Caenorhabditis elegans: one gene and its partners. The protein of the gene in region 3 interacts with the protein of the main gene of each other region in a pairwise test. Each region holds a gene or a part of one and is shown on either strand. Other genes may lie near its edges. The genes, in order: rig-3, sax-3 and cam-1.

Region 1 (7,885 bases), on a different chromosome or scaffold from region 3:
TCCGCTCAAACAAAATCCGAAGGCCAGAACTCTAGTTTCAAAAATACAGACAAATTTAAGTGTTCGGCAGGGAATGTAGTGAACATTAACATTCAAAAAAAAACTCACTGGCTTCTCTAAGATGAATTGTATGGTAGGATTTTGCTTTGATATTGTTAGCTTCGCATTTGTAAGTGCCCAAATCGTTCTCATTGACATTGTGAATTTTGAGATGTGCTCCTTGAGAAACTCCGACATTCACAAAAATGTTGAATTTATCGCTCATCTTGATCTCCTCGTCTCCGTGATAAAAAGTGTAGTGACGAACTGGTGGGAAGGAATGTGTCACATTACAGTAGATAATTGCATCACGGACGTGGTTATCAATAACTGTGTACTGCACAGATTCTTCCGTCTCAAACTCGGGAAGGGCTGCAAAATACATTTTTAAGAATAGTGCAAATACTAAACAAATGTCTTACTGTAAACTTCGATGTTAACATCTTTTCTGTCAACAACTGGGAATTCTTCCTTGCTTGTTTCCTGGTGCATCTCAATAGTAATACAAGACACTGTTAACTCGGCATGCTCTTTTTTCAAGCTATCAATGGTGGCTTCATTTCCAGCAATTGTCCAGATTTCTTCATCGAGTGGCTCACCATTTCCATTTGTCATCTGAATCATTGGTTCTTTACCGGATGGCCCCTTAACTCCACAGTCAATTGTGATGGGCTCTCCAAGAAGTGCTCCCTTCACAGTATCTTTATCATTCCATTCAATGGCAGCTGTAAATTTTTAAATATTGTTTTGAATTATTTTCAGTTCAAGTAAAACTTCTTACGGAGTACGACCAATTTGATGGTCTTCTCGAAATTTTCTCCCCCAGCAGTTCTTCCTGTGCACGTGTAGAGTCCGGTGTCTCTCGTGTGAACCGATGAGAAATGTAGCGATGTTTTGCGATGTTTGCTCCCCTTTTCGTTCAAAATCACAGAGAAAAGACTGAAAAAATCTTTGTTTTTGGATTTTTTGTCGTTTTCTGCGTGTAGATTTTTTTTTATGTAACTGGTTTTGAATATCGAATTTCGAGGAAAAATGGGCAGAAAAGGAAGGGAAATATCCTATTCAAGAAATGAAATATAACACTGCTTTTTTCGGCTTTCATCACATTTTTTATTTGTCGAAAAAAAAATTGAAAAGTTTTCTAACCTTGGATTGGATTCTCCGTCGATATTGTTTCCATTAGCTTGTTTCCAAAGAAGATCACTTTTGTGGATTTGTTCGTCACTTTCAAATACACAACTAACCATTAACTTCTTTCCTGAAATAATAATTTTCAGAATATCAAAAAAGTTAAAATTTTTAAATATAATAAAAACCTTCTCTGACTGTGATTGTGTTTGTGTCGTAATCCATGGCTTCTGATGAAATGACGATAGGATTTGCCTCATTGGAAGATGGACTATCTGAAATTTAAACAAAATTAAAACAATTTATTTCCCCTTTCATTGTTAGTCGGAAAGACTGGAAGCGTTTTGGATACCCATTTCCGGTAAATATATAATTAAGGAAGTATGGCGGACCGACATATCGAGTTTCGTCGATGTGAAAATTTTCACGAGTCATCTGTTTCGACTCGATTACATTCATTCGAAATTACCTATCTTATTCGAGCCTTTTAGTCATTTATTTGCACAAAGTGACTCATATTTGGGTGGCAATAATAGAAAAGAAAACAAGTTAGACACATAGTTATCGCGCAAATTTAAGACGTCGGACAAAGTGAAGAACATTTATAAAAACACAACTTCTTAAAGCATTAATGAGCACAGCAAAATATTTGCACTGACCAAAAAGAATCGTCTCAACGAACAATGGAATTAAACGATTATCTCGCGTTCTAACGAATAGACTTCTTTTTCTCAAAAAATCCTCGTATTCCAAGTAATCTACACCTGTAAGGGAGTTTTTTAAAATTTTTTACTATGTCATTTTAGAATCATAAAACTGGGGTTTCCCCACTGGCCATAACTCTTCCATCATTTTGAAAAAATTTCCCTGCCTCCTCGAGCATCCGTTAAAACATCATCTAAATGTGTAAATGCCACAAAACAAATTGTATTATCTTACGCAACTGTTCAAATGACAAATTTCACAACTTGGGTTTCTTATTTACTGTTCACCGAACACTTTTCAAGTATCCCTCTTTTACCGCCATCAATGTGTTGCTCATTTGCTTTTCTTCATCCCGAAAAGGTGTCATTGGACACTGCTAAAATTTGCATAACGGGACACATAAGAACCAGCAGTTAGTGTACCAACAAGAAACAATAGTAATAATGATGTACACTCGAATCTGTTCCTCCCCCCTCCTTTTCCCGTTTACCCCATTTCATTTACCATCTTGTCTTCATTAGCAGTACCAATATGCTAATATTCCGAGGAAGGGGAATAAAAGAGGGGTATTGGGAGTCTTGGGATCATGGTCCATGAGCATATGACGAATATGATAAATTATGGATGCCAAAGAAAAAGAAAACCAAAAAGAGCCCTTTTCGATTCACAGCAGTTTCTCACGATATGGTATTCATTCAGTGTATTCATAGTGGAGCCATTTACTATTCAAGGTGTCACATCGCATGATCAACTTATTTTTTTTTTACTCCTTTCACTCTTGGATGAAAAAGAAAACATGATTAAATTACCTAAAAAATAGTAACGTGGTTGGTTATAAGCAACCAATTTGGTATCGCAAATGACATCCTTACATGTTGTTTGTTCCATTGGTAAAAAAAAAGAAAAGAACGAGAAAGTTGGAGAGTATCAGGTAATTGAATTTTGTTGTTCCACTTCCCAAAAGGTCTCATAGTCCCTCTGCCTCAGGGGACTTTGCGTTCAACCAAAGAAAACTGCAAGTACTTTTCTCTCACTGTGTTCTTAAGCTTTCTCAAGCGATGAATGTAACTCGATCTGTTTGATGGTCATGTAAAAACTCAGGCCACTGTAGTTGAATCGTGTTGTTTGGTAGAAAAGAAGAAAAAGACATGAAATTGCATACCGTGCGTAATATGGAGAAACGGACAAACTTTGATTGCTTGATCATGCTCACATTGTTGAATTCTAATACAAAAGTTCAAAATCAAATATATGTCAAATTCAGATCTATGCCTGGAAATTATGAAATTTTGTTTGAAACCAGTAAGAATATTGTTGAAAATCTAACCTGGATTGCTGAAAAACAAGCATCAAAATTTCTCAAAATCTTTTGTAATTATTTTAATTTCCATTCGGCAATTATAGAGGTTACCCCTTATACAAATTTGTGAAGTCAAAAAAGTCATCTACGACATTCATATGTTAATGACGGTTTAGTTTTTTAAATATTTAAAAATTAAATATTTAAAATAATTTAAAATTTTAAATAAATTTAAAAATAAAAAAATAAAAAATTGTAACACGTTCATTTTTCTGAAAACCCCACAATTTTGAAATCATCAAAACTTTGACTGAAAACTTTGTTAAACCATACATTTTTGGAGTGTTTTTTAATTAATATATTCATAAATATCTTCTAATTTTTCTATTTGAACATTATAGGGGCTCAAACCTACAGCGATTCTCGAAGTTGATACGTTTTTGAAAAATTCGGTAATTTACCAAAATTTGACAATCGTAAGTGTCTAAAAGCTAAATATCCACTGACGATACTCCGCAAAATTGAGAGATGGAAATAATGGGCTCAAAAACAAAACAAGTGGATATAAATACTGATACATAATACAGAAGCGTTCAGTAGTATATTATTTTGTTTATTATTTGTACCGCACATTTATTCACAGCCCTCTAATTACCTAGCTTCTCACACAATAGACTCAATCGTCTTCCATTGGTGGTTATTTATCAAAACAGTTATGTATTCTCTTTTGTTGACCCGTATTCCATATTACTAACAAATTTAACCATTCCAGCAACCCTTCTCTTTCCAAACCATTCATGTTTAATTCAGGGTTTCTAATTTGAACAACAAGGGAAACAAGGATGAGGAGGGGGTGTCCTCTCAGCGTGTCCGCGGTCTGTTGGACCCTCCAGAATTCTTTTGACTCTTTGACTTTAAACCGCCCTAATTGTCGTGTCACGCATGATTTAGTAGGTGTTCTTTTTTCGCCGGTTCTCATATTTTCCATTAATTCTTTTGACTTCCCAAACGCGAAAATTTCCAAAACCTTTTATCATTATTAGAAGAGCTAGTGTTGAGTAAGCCTGGTAAACGGTTGTAGGCAGTTAGACAAACATTTGGATAACTGTGTAGCGGGAGAAAAATCAGTAGTAAGTAGTAAAATTCCGATGTTATGTGATGCGTAATATGGATTATGATTAATGTACTGTTGTTTGGAAAAGGAAACGGAACTTTATATCTACAAATGAAAATAAGTGTGTGGCTACTGCTCCGTTTTTCTGTTTTGGTGGAAATATCAAACTTGGCAGCACTTTCAAATTTTTTCCGCGTCGTCAATCCTATTGAAAAGTTACTATGGAAAGTGGTGCACCTGCTATTCAATGTTCTTTTCTTGACCCCTTTTACACTACTTGCTACCAGATTTAGGAAGTCTATGTACATAGTTGTTCCCATCCGTGTTTCCGCCACCTGCCTCGAAAATTGCAACGACCCTCGATAGATATATTTCAACATACTGATCGATCAGCGCAAAAAATACACAAAACTACCAGCATACAATACATGAACCTCGGAGAGCTGGAGGTCTTCTTGCAAGCATCTGAACACACACACACACACTCACACACATACATAACGAGCGCCTGTGTTACCTACTCTTCCGTCTCTTCTTTTCAAATGTCAATAGGCACGGGAAAAAACGTCCAATCAATAAGAAAAATGGACAAAAAGAGGAAGACAACGATGAGCAAATGGCCATTTCTAAGGTTTCATTTCTTTGCGCCTGTTTGCCTCCGAAATGTTAAGCCATTGAGAGGAAAGGTGGGAGAAGGGCTCCATTCCACACTCCTTTTTCTTCATCGCACAAAACAAAAAAGCATGGCAAACAATTGAAATTATTGAAAACGAGCAGAATTGCATCGCAACGATACTAAGGCAACATTATATTGTAGGAAGGGAATCGCTGAGAACATCTTTTTGTTATAGGAAGGTATTTAGAAAGCGAAACGACTTCCGATTCAAAAAAAATGCGTGAAAACGTTCTCACTTCACACTTCTCACTTTGATTCTTGTTCCCTTATTCTCAAGTGTTCTTGTTTTTTTTTAATGATGACAAACAGTTCTGGGTATTTTGAACGTATAGACAAAATGTGATCAAGCCATTGAATACCGAATTCAAATTTCTAAAGAAATTTTCAAAAATTATATGATGGTATTATTTTTAGAGTTTCAGCTACTTTGAAATTTTAACGGCTAAAGAAAATTGAATTTTTTTGAGAAGTTTAATTACGAAATTCTTCATTTAAGCACATTTTGAGCCAATACGTTCAAAATACCCAGCACCATTAGGTCTTCTTTAAAAGAAAGATACTAATATCGTAACAGCTCATGTCAGATCAAGTTTACTCCAATCCCAGAATGTATTTATATGCCCTTTACCCATGTGAAATCTTCTTCTAAACTCTTTTTCACGAAAAACCAGACATTGTGGATGCGACACGACAAAAAGGGGTCTATTAGTAGCAAGTTGGCAAGTGTCTCTCAAGGGAAAAAGCACAGCGCACACATGTTTTGAAACTTTTGCCCAAGAAATGCATTTGCGCGGTATGGGTGTGATTCAGTAGCACTGATGGGCTCTGAAGTTCCTAAGATTGTATCATCATCATCATCTGGTCGTCTTGTTTATATCGCGCCACCACCCGCGGATTTCGTCGAAAAAGATAAACTTTTCAAGTGGGGCACCCACTCGAAATGCTCGAACTATCGCAATTGATATACCAAGCGCTAATTTCAATGCTATGCAAGAACCAAAGGATCGAATGAACTTTTCTATTGTAAGTGGGGTTCAGGAAAAAAAAATTTAGTAGAAAACAAAACAAAACTAACCTGATGCGGAAACTGCGGAAACGAAAAGACACATCGCAAGAGGGAAGAGCATCTTGGCAAGTAGTCGTCCCATTTTCGAAAAAGAAGAATGAAGTTCTTCTGCAAGGAATGACAAATAGCTGTGAAATTTTTAGGCAGTTGACCACATACGGCTGGTGAAGAAAAAAGTGTTTAAAAAACATTTTGGCGGATTGTGATGGGATCAATGAGGGGATTAAAAATGAGGACGAGATGAAATTATGAGTAAATAATGGAGGGTCTAGATAGCCTTTTTTCATCCAATTAGAAATGCTAGGAATTTTTTTTGGAAGTTGAAACCTACAGTTGAAAATTGCAGTGGCTAAATACTTTCACTAATGTTAGAATACTCGAATCTTGTAAAAAATCAATTGACTGTTCTAGAAAAATGTAGTTTGTAATTCTGAAAATAGTTTTCTGGAAGCTTACTGGACAACAATAAGTGTTGGTCTGTATCTATCTTTTTCTGTGTGTGCAAAAGAGAAGGGCAGAGTGTATGAGTGCGCTGCCCCCGATTCCTACTCCGCCCGCCCTCTCCTCGCGCACTAGGAGATAGAGCCAGACGGTTATGAGAAACCGAAAATGGACCGCCTACATTTTCGAAAGAGTGTTGTTACCATCCTTTTTAAATGGTAAAAGCATTAGGTGAGCAAGAGGGGAACATTTTGGCCAGTTTCGAAATTCGTTCAAATTGAAAACAGGGTTTTGTGAGTCATCTACATAGGATTCTGGTTACAAGTTTTGAGGAGTTTGTCTCAAAGTTTAGGGTACATGGGTAACAGTTACACTTTAAAACATGACCCAGTCTTGACAAGTTAATGAACTTGTAACAACCTGAAAAGTTATGCCTCAAAAGTGACACTATGAGATCGATTTCTATTACAAGATATTCACAGCAAACTGAGAACTCGATTCGTGACAAATGACGAGTATACTCATTTTACGCGTATTATACAAATAAAATAAAAAATTTTCTTAAATCATTTTAAAACATTTTTTGGTACTGTCACTGCCAAACGCTTTACAAAATCAATATTTTTTATAGAAAAGAAAATTATAATAGGTTTAAGCTTTCTTCATTCGAAATTATTTTTAAACAACCATCATGATGTCACAAATAGTTTGAATGAATAAACTACATGATAATGAAGATCTGAAACTGGGCCATCGAATGAATAAAGAAAAATCAGTTAATGAAAAAATTTGCGGTACAAAAATTACAAAAAAAATAAACCTTTTTAATTATACAGAGTGGATTTTTCATCTTATCTTTCAATTTCCCAAATCTCAATACAGCTTAAGTATTTTACCATAGCAATAGCAGGAAAATTTCCCATTTCCGCCTCATTTTTGTAAAGACAAACGCGGGGGTTGCTGGGCGTTTCGGAGCACTGAGTCATGTGGGATATGTATGAAGTACATTAGAAACCATTTTTTGGTGGGATTGCGGATCTTGCAGCCTACGCAAAATTTAGAGAAAGAGCCACGTGGTTAGATAACACCACAACAAAACAAATGGGAATTTAGTTCAGTGCTGGCACTGTCATACATCAAAAACAAATGACAGTTTCCGGTGAAAAACGCGTAGGTGGATTGCTGGAGTGGTGGGTTTATCTTAAACTTTTTCTTTGGAAGATGAAAAAAAAAACGATTTTTCCTACTAGGTTCATGCATTTGATTTTATTTGGAACCATTAGCTATCTCAATTTTCGACAAGGACGCGCCATTTTACGACTTTCAAATAAAAAGAGCCCCCACAATTTGATCGAAAACGGCAAAAAGGTAAATTGGAGGTGGAATCGAATTAGGGTTGCGTTGGCTTGGACGACT
Region 2 (4,970 bases), on a different chromosome or scaffold from region 3:
GGTTTCTCAAAGACACTCAATCTTGCGGGATTGGACACCCGTTCTCCGACCATGTTGTTGGCAACACACTGATAAGTACCAGAATCGCTTCGATCGACCGGATCAATGATGAGGTTTCCGTCAGAGTGTAGAGTGTATCGTGGCATGTCTTGAATTCGGAGCTCTTTGTCGTCTTTCCGCCAGCTCACAACCGGCTCCGGGAATCCACGTGGCGGACTGCATTCCAGAACGGCCATCTCTCCACCAAGAGCCTGAAAACAATTGAGTAACGCTTCTGTGAATAATTATTTTTTAATGGTCTAAAAATCGCGTTGACAAATTGTGCAGTGCGGTTTACAGTTTTTGAAAAACTGACGAATGAAGTTTTTTGTAACATTGATGGTCCAAATCTTCGGTTTTTCGGGGTTACCAAAAATTTTCAACTGACAAAATAGTGATAATTTTTTTTTTCTGTAGTTTAACACTAAAAAATGAGGTGACATATTTGAACTGACTCAGAATATGCCGTTTTATTCTCTATTTGTGCGGCACCCCAACTGTTTAACTGACAGCATATGTCTCGAATGCTTTTGAAGATATTAAGAAGTTCAAAAACAATAAATTTACAGAGAAATTTAACAAAACTGTGCTCAGTTAAAATTTTTACAAAAAATCCAATTTGACCGAGATACGAACTGTCAGGGTTGAGCCATGGAAATGCCGCAGTAATAGAGATTATAAGGTAAACTGTCAAAGTAGAAAAGTGCAGGATTAAGTGAAAAAATACGTAATATTATTCAAAGTATTAAACTTTACCTGAACTGTTCTTGGCCGAACTCGAAAGTCTTCGCGAAGCATCGCCAATTTTAACGATCCTTCGTTCGACTTCACTTCTCCGTGCTCGTTGCTGGCCACACAATAGTACGCTCCCGCATCGCTGTCTTTTCCGTTTTTTCCACTATTCACTTTCAGAAGAAACAGGGATCCCGTGTCGAGAACAATCCGGTGGCTGTTCACTTGCTCCTTATTCGTGATTACGGGCTGTCCATCCTTGTACCATGTGATTTTGGCGGTAGATGGCTTTGCACCACAGTTGAGGGTTGCTGGCGATCCCCTAGATACCACCACATCGATGGGATGTTCGATTATCACGGGAGCGAGATTTGAGGCATCTGAAATTATATTCAAGATTTGAAAAGGTTCAAAACAACATCATTCCCCTGTTAGAATTTTTTTTACTTTCCTCATCTCCCATTCATCTTATTTCCACATACATCAACACTTTGATTTTATCCATCTTGACAATGTGAATAAGAAAGGAAACTTGTCCAAGTGCATTAAATCAATCTGACCGATCCGGCACGCGCAATACTGTCACATCTGTATTATGGTGTCGAAACGAACACCTTCCCTCACCGATTTTTCAGTAGAGATGTGCGACACTATTGTCCTTGACGGACGGTAGGTAATAAAATGATTCACTAGGAATTTTATCAAAATTTATGTATGTGTGTGTGTGTGTGTGAGTGTGGTAAAAACCTAGATAGTACATTAACGGCTGGTTTATTGGGTGTCGGTGGTCTATTACATAAGATTGCCATTGACCTCCGACGGATTACCCATCTTCTCCCATCTGCTTCAAAAAATATCAAAAAGCCATTTTGAATCACTTGTTTATGGCATTCACCCTGACACTGCTGCGCACACACTTAATAAAAATTTCAGCAGGCCGACTTGTTTTCCTCCACTTCAAAATACGGACCACTGTTGTTTTCCACTAGTAAATTACCAGACCAAAGTGTGGCTAACAAGCTGCCGGATTCAACAATTTAATTAGCCTGGCTGTCCTTCTGTCTCTTCTGTCACCTCTTTAACCTTTCAACAATCTAGCGTGCCAGTGTCAAAATGTGCGCACGCGAGTAAACTATCCATGAACCAATGTATTGTACTCTGGCTACAATTTAATGGCCGTGTTAACCTTCAAAATATTATACTACGCTGCCTGCCCGCCTTTTCATCCATAGGCAAGACAAAACCAAAGAGCTGTGAAGATGTACACATATCTCATCCTGTCAACACCCAATTTCACAATTCGCCCGTCATTCTTTCGCAACACATTGGTGTTGAAAGCTTCTGCTAAAAAGCAGGCTGTCTTTCTAAAACATGAGATGCAACTGAATATTTTGGACAGCGCCAACAGCTCATTAATAACCTACTAGTCTCTGGGGAGGGATTTCAAATAGCTTCTCATCTTCTATCAACCGCATGCTAATGATTCTCAATTTTACGGATATTCGCATGCATCTTAAAACTGTGCTAAAATGTTTAAATGACCCAGGTTGGGGCAATTTATCACATTGAATAATGACTTGCACATTGCACAAATTACATTGTGGAAATGTGGAAATGTGGAACAAGACAAATATCGAGAGTCTGCGGGTGGTCGCTCCCAACTGTTTCTTATATTTTCGTTGCAAATTACACTGGCTCTGGTCGCTGTACAAAAAGACTTATTGTTTTAAGAGATTAGCATTTGAATGGTGAATACTTGAGAACACGCGCCTCAATGAGACTAACTCCTCTCATTCATTTTCTATACCATTTATTCTCCCCCCGTCCTATTCACTATTGTTTTCTCAACATTACCATCCAAAAGCGGGGCTTGGCTCGGCCAAGAGGGCAGATGGCAGTCCAAAACGATAATCGAATCTTTTTACACTATAGTCGGCAAACGAGCTCACAATCCAAGCAGCGAACCCGCTTTTGGTGTTTGACAAAATGAAGAGTCATGTCTAATAGCGCAAGAGTAGAAAAAGCAGCGAGTAAAGAGCATTTTTCCAAGATGGAGGGCATTCGTTTCCGCGCATTCAGTCAATCTTCGTTTTAATCGCTTTCTTCGACATGGGAAATACAACCCAACCTAATGGATTTTCCAAGTTTCCAAGTGAATTCAAAGAAAACCCACGAGTGGATCGAATAGCGTGTCTTGTTGGCGACGCGTTTTTTTCACCATGTAACTTGACACTTTTGGTACATTCTTAACTTAACATTTTTTTTCTAGAAAAAAAAAACCAACCTTCGCAGAAGCTTCGGATTACTGCTTGCAATACCAGGAGGATAGTGCATAACAGCGTTTTTCGATTGAACATGATCTTGTTTTATTCAATCTGTGTCCAATTTCAAAGGCTGCATCTAATTGTGGCGGTGTTCTGAATTTCCAGTTGGGAGACACCTGCAAGAAAAACACAAAAGTAATCAAAGTTATTGGCGGTTGTTTTAAGAGTGGGCGACAAAATGACGGAAAGAGAATGAGGGAATATAAAAGGAGAAACAAGACAAAATAGGTGATGGGAAAAAGATGGAAAAGGGCGAAAAAAGCGTGGCCCTGGGTGTAATCATTCATCTTTGCTAGGGTGACACTCGGGAGAATAGATTTAGAAGGAAAAAAGGAAAAGACACAACAAAGTAATTGAAAAGTTGACGAGCGTCGTCGTCGTCGTTTTCAAGACGCGAAGACGATTTGTGCGTCCGTTTTTGCGCATTTTCGGTGGTGGTGGTGGTGGAGCGATTCGGACGGAAGCCGACCCTAAATTGGACTAGAGAGCCACATTCTAGAATGAAGAACAAATTTAGTCTTCTACGCGACGGAAGATGTTGGACAAAAAAAAATAAAGAAAAAATGCACGGGAGGCAAAAGTAGCCAGCAGGAAGACAAGCAACAAAAAAAATGAGGACGCAAAGTTAGGAGGCAAACGTAGTGAGACTGGTTAAAGATGACGCGCAGAAGGACGGATGAAGGATGGATATAGAAGATGAAAGAAAATGAACAAGTCGATTTTGAAAGGATTTTCTTAAATGCGGCGAGGCGTAATCAAAATTTGGTGTAGTGAAAAGGCAACTTGAAAAAGGAAACCTACTCTGACAAAAAATATAAAAAATCTTTAGTACTAAGTTCGTGGCAGATTGGGAAGTGTGCAGGAGTTGTTTCAAACTGCACAAGACTCCCGAAAAGCTATGCAAAATTTTATTTTACGCAGGAGTTGTGCAAGATTGTAGTAAGAATCCGTTGAAGTTTCAATCTAAGTAGAACTTCATCAAGTCTATATAGGCGTTTTACTTTACTTGGGAAATTTGATTTTTGCCAGAGTATCAATAAAATAACTATAGCTACAATTTGAACATGGAAATTAAAAACTTCAAACACAGCAAAATGGCCAAAATTAGGAAAATACCTTGAAATTAAAAGAAAAACGGATTTTCAACATCACCAAATGGTTCAAAATTTTTATACATACAAAAAGCTTTCATTGTTTCTCTAACAACCAAAAAGAAACAAATCACAATTTAGTACAAATGCATTTGCAGAACATTTAAAATGAGGACCGTTGAGACGAATTGCTAGAAGGCGTAGACGCAGAATGTTAGACATCAGATTTCCTCTTCAAGGTGTGTGTGCAATGCGCGGGGAGATAAACGCGCAAAGAGGAGTGAGACAAGTATCGATTTATGTTGTGCCAGCGATTGAATAATACTGATTAGATAAACTATCTGGCAACAGGCGGGCGAATAAGAAAAATCAATACGCTTTATTCTAGACAAGAAAGTACTCGAGAACATATCAAAGCTCTCAACTCAATAAGGTCGTCAGAAAGCTCATAATTGTCAGATAAATAACCTAAATAATGCGCGTCAAGAGCACGGCGATGACGGATGTCCATGTCATGCAAGCGGCTCGATACGGAACGAAACCGCATGGAATATGAGGGGATAGCCGGGGCTATACGTCGCCCCCTTCCCTGGTTAAGTAATTATTCCAATTCGTGGCCGCCCTCCTCTCACATTCGACTACCCGTTCATTAGGTCCATTGTAGACCGAACCTATGCCCATGGACCAACGAGGCAAACGATTGGGGGACGGGAGGACGACGAAGAAGAAGGAAAACCCGGCCCTGTCATACAACATCTGTCGTGTTGTGTCTATACGTTGTCAA
Region 3 (4,780 bases):
CCTCATTCTCGCTTCTTCTTCTACCACCAAAGGGACCCTGTGCTCACTCACTAAATCACGAAAGTTGTCCGTGTGTGTGCGAGACTTGGGGGCGCGTAAATAGTTGAAATAATGATGAAGATTGATGGAGTTGCAATGAACTAAAGAACATGGGGAAATTCGAAGAGTCACAGAGAGATGGAGAATGGGCTCATGGTGCCAAATTTGAGAGTGTGTATGTGACTTGTATTTCGAATTTTCAAATTTGGAATCAAGCAATGTAGTTTTTTGGTGTTGAAATTTTTTGGGCAACTATAATAGAAACATAAGAAAAATTACACTAAGAAGTTTCTGAAAATAATCTTTCTAGGGAGTATAAGTTTAAAAAATTGACTTCCAAGTTGTCCAAACAAATCACAAATTCCTATAAAAGATCATCACAGTCTCTACAGAGAGCCAGTAAAAGCCGACTACCGACAAGGATAAACATGATGATGAGAACGGAATTGGAAAGTGGATCACAAACATTGAAACAGTGTGTTAGGCACAATTTACTACAGAAGAAGAGACCGAGATAGATACAAACACTTTTCAACCCAATGTTTTGATCTTACAATCACTTTCGGTTGTTGGGTGTACTTGCAATTGGTGGAATTGTTAATATGAAAATTTAAAAAATCACTCAATTTTTCTGTGCCTGAAGAAAGTTGACTGTGAATTGACTAACTGCAGTTTGCCACCCATTGAAAGAAATGGAAATAGTTCAGTCTGAGCAAAATAATTTCGAAATCAAAAATGCTCTATCAGGTATAACCTTGCCTCAAAACAAAATTTCATCTAAACCTGAACACGAGACTCACTAGTCAGTAATAATAGCCCACCTAAATGACTATTATTCGCATCGAAATGCGAGTTCCATTAGCCTATTCAGGAGTAATAGGATATTGATCCAATTGCAAATATACTGACAGAGCCTGGGAAACAAGTATAGACAAAAGGTGTGAAGGGAGTTTTGGAATACGGGAAGAAGATGGAATGGTAATAGATAGATGACGTAAAAGATGTGGAACGCATGCTCGGCTGTCAGGTCAAATTAATGGAATCGGTGATAAGAGAAGAAGAAAAATAAGAGATTTGATAACGAATATAAAAAAGTAAGTTTTGACAAATTTTTCTACATGTGAGGCTGAAGATATAAAAATAATTTAGAATTTAGTTAAAAGTTGTGGAAACAAATCTTGCGCACTTAAAGAATAGTTCTCCAAATGGCAAAATATGGAGGTTTGTTAAAAACCGTAAGATTGTTTAAAACTATCTCCAGGATTTTAGTACACTAAACCTAGAAACCAAAATAAAAATTCAAGATAAATTCAGCTAATTCAAGTTTAGGAATATTTCATTTCCGGGGAGGAGAAGTGCGGATTGACTGAACGATATTTAGGATTAAGCAGACTAAATCAAGCTAGTATTAAAATGCCTATTATAGATTAGTAATAAGACCTTAATATTGGAATCAAACTGTTTTCTAATCACTAAAAACCGTTCAAAAATGATTCGAAAGTTATAAATTAATTAGAAAAAGAAACTAATAAATAGTGATAAATTAACTTCTTTTTTACGATGTGTCATCATTACAAGGCCAATAAATTATAAATCGAGTAGTCCATCCGTCGGATGAATGTGCGGAGCGCGTTTGGCGGGGAGGGCCCATTCGACAGAATCCCCGAGAAATAGTATACTGATTCAATGAGACGCAGAGACACAGGGGATGACTGACAGTAGGAAAGAAGGCAGAGGTCAGTCCGTTTTGTCAGATATTAGGGAAAGAGAGAGAGAGAGGAGATGGTCACGGTTAGGGTGGGGGTGGTCCGTTGTATGGGTGAAAGAGGAGGAAGACGTCCGGGTGTTGGTGGATGTATATAGGTGTCAAGTGGATTATGCAATATGTAGAACAGAAGAGGTGGGAGAATGGTCATCCATTATATGGGCATGTCACTCCGTTTGTTTGAGGGAAATGAGCTTGTGTCAGTTAACCCAATTTCCGCATCCGGAATGACATTTTGATGCTCTATAGTGGTACAAAATATGGATGAAAAAATAATAATTGAAATTTCCAAAAGAATGGGTGCTAACGGAAAATTTTGGATCGTGATGTTATATCTAATTACCAAAATTCATCAAAAATGTGAGATATCGGCATTTGGCACCAAAATATTACACAACTTTTCTCTTAAAAATACAAAACTGGCGAAAAAATTTGTAACACTTGACTGAGACCATATCCAAGTATTGCTCGAAAAATGGAAAAAATTGAGCGAGTTTCAGCTTCTGCCCACGTTTTGCCTAAAAGCACTATATAAAGTTTGTCAATTTTTTTAACAAGTTAAAATAACTTAGGCAAAAATCGAGCCAAAAATTATTTTCATAACGATTTGATTTTTGATATTGACAAAGTATTAGCTACTTAAAATTCACAAAAATTTGAAATAAATCACTTTCGAAGTTGACCCCTTTAGCAATTAATTTAACTCAAAATCTAATAAAAATTGCGCTAAAACTAATCGCAAGTTGCAAACTTGTCAAAAAGATGAAAAATGGGAAGTCGACACGACGGAAGTTTTCAAGATTTTGAATGAAGATAATAAGTTGGGTGGAGGGAGAATTGCAGAAAAATTTCCCATTGAACATTATTTTTATAATCAAGATTCTAACGGTGAAGATCACATACTGCATAATACTCATCGGGCGAGCTTGATGAATGTGGGAACGGATGGCGGTAACCATATGGTTTTATTCAGAAATCAAGAAGTAATTGGGTTTATTTTAAATACATTTTTTGAAAATCTATATGAACTGATCTATATGAACATATATGAAAATCTATATGAACTGATTAAATGCTTTTAAAGTTTATATTTTATACGCCAAGAGGTGGACGCGCATTTTAGAGGTCGTTAAAAATTTTTGTAGTCAGCAAACTGTACATCTATAGACTCACTAGATTTAAGCATTTTGTGTTTTTGAGGCAATCTAATAAACTACTTGTATTTGACCCATATTCATTTAATCTGATAGTAAATAACCGAACCGTTTGTTGCCAAAATAGGCAGCTACAGTTTCTACCACCCGTATCTAATTACTATAATTATCGTATCAAAAGACAGTAATACTCACGATGCATTTCCGTAGTGAAGACCCTCATCGTCGGCTGGTTCTATCACGAGATCGTCGTCTTCTGGTCGGGGAGACATTTCTGGAATATTCAAGATTTAGGGTATAAAAATTAAAAAATGGAACGAGATGGTAATATACAGAGTTCAAAAATTTATTCGAATCGAGAATTTCAGCACCAGTAACATAAAAAAAGGTAATTCAAATATTACTTTAAAAAAACAGAAATTCATAAAGTTCAGTGAAGCAAAAGTTGAATTGAAGTATAAAGCTTAAGCCGGCTAAAAAAAAAGTTGAGAAATGGCAGGTGAGATTTCAGAAATCGCAGAATTTATCATGAGAATTTGAGAGGAAATTTAAGAAAAAGTATAGAATTTCAGTTTTCTTAAGTCATGAATTCGACAACTTTTCTCTCTTCTAATTCTGAATTCATTTCCAGAAGAGACGCAGGTCTTTTTCATTAGATGACAACTTTCAGGACCACCAATGAAACTTTTTTTCTCAAATCGAAATGAATTGAGGATGAAGTACAAAAAGAGACGGGAAAAAAGTCATTTTCATATTAGTAGTACACATTTTGATGCGCTTTTCCACTCATTTTGCATGTAAAATAAATGTGATGGATGACTGAGAAATGAGCAGGAGCACGAAGAGTTGTGAAGCAATGAGTTAGAAGAAAGAGTTGGTGATGAAAAATGGAAGAAAATTGAATGAAAAAGAGATTTAGAGAAGAAAAGATGAGCATTCTTTCATGCAATTTTAGTAATACACGGGTTTTCACACCTGTCTAATAAGGCTTATAAAGCAATTTGGAAAATAATTGAGTTTCCTGACACAGCTGGATATACACTAGATTGTCACTTATTTTAAAAGTAAGAAAGTGGAATTATGACGAAAGTTTGTCAAAAATTTAGGTGTTTCACCCATCAAAAAACTCAACTGTAAAATTTTTAAAATGGTGTTCTTAAAATGTTTAATTGCATGATTTTATTTCCAAATATTTTTTCTAATATTTCACTTTGTCATTTTAATACTAGAAACCAAATCCCAATTTATACTTGAAAATCAAGGTCCAAAACAAACTCCGGAAATAACGTGAGAAAACCAAATGATATGCTTCCTGTTGATGTTCTGAATGGAATTTCAAACGGGAATTCTGGGAGAGTCCCATTCGAAGAAGAACAGCTAAATTTCAGAGAAAACATTTATATATTGCACAAAATATGAGATCATGGATCTTCTAATTAAATTATTGAAAAATTGTCACATGTCCAGAAAGTCCAATGAACGTTCGTAAATTCATGGGCAGGTTTCCAAACCTTTCGACTATGTGAACAAATATTTTCAGGTCGATTAAAAAACTTTCAGAACGTGTAAATGATTACAATAATTTTATTAGAAATGATACGGTAGATATAAACAAATTGGCCAAAATGTATGTTCCTAAAACATGTGTGATCTGCAGTAGATATTTCGAAACCTTCAGCATGAGCTAATTTTGTATATGTTTCTCAAAATCCTAGATACACTGGAGCATTCATCCCTGAGAGCGTAAATCGGATAAAAAGAGAAACGCAAAATGATTATTATAGAATTTGAAAGTAAGTGCATGCTCCTGCTCGTGCTGCTT

The links.
Region 1: the proteins of cam-1 (region 3) and rig-3 interact in a protein complementation assay, tested with the Caenorhabditis elegans proteins (one study listed by BioGRID).
Region 2: the proteins of cam-1 (region 3) and sax-3 interact in a two-hybrid assay, tested with the Caenorhabditis elegans proteins (one study listed by BioGRID).

What each region holds. Positions count from the first base shown.
Region 1 is NC_003284.9:6,851,869-6,859,753, reverse strand, and holds the start of rig-3 (Neuronal immunoglobulin domain-containing protein rig-3), read right to left. Parts: upstream 6,137-7,885; 5' UTR 6,111-6,136; coding exon 6,038-6,110; intron 4,328-6,037; exon of another isoform or gene 3,892-4,327; intron 1,443-3,891; coding exon 1,356-1,442; intron 1,298-1,355; coding exon 1,186-1,297; intron 979-1,185; coding exon 821-978; intron 765-820; coding exon 462-764; intron 412-461; coding exon 109-411; intron 1-108. UniProt on the Caenorhabditis elegans protein: Cell surface protein which plays a role in the plasticity of cholinergic synapses at neuromuscular junctions and in the polarity of the mechanosensory neuron ALM, possibly by antagonizing Wnt signaling.
Region 2 is NC_003284.9:3,462,715-3,467,684, forward strand, and holds the start of sax-3 (Protein sax-3), read right to left. Parts: upstream 3,214-4,970; 5' UTR 3,172-3,213; coding exon of another isoform or gene 3,142-3,171; 5' UTR 3,129-3,141; coding exon 3,056-3,128; intron 1,152-3,055; coding exon 796-1,151; intron 252-795; coding exon 1-251. UniProt on the Caenorhabditis elegans protein: Required to confine migrating sex myoblasts to the ventral muscle quadrants during their migration through the body and for multiple aspects of sensory, motor, and interneuron axon guidance.
Region 3 is NC_003280.10:9,307,072-9,311,851, forward strand, and holds the start of cam-1 (Tyrosine-protein kinase receptor cam-1), read right to left. Parts: upstream 3,234-4,780; 5' UTR 3,231-3,233; coding exon 3,154-3,230; intron 1-3,153.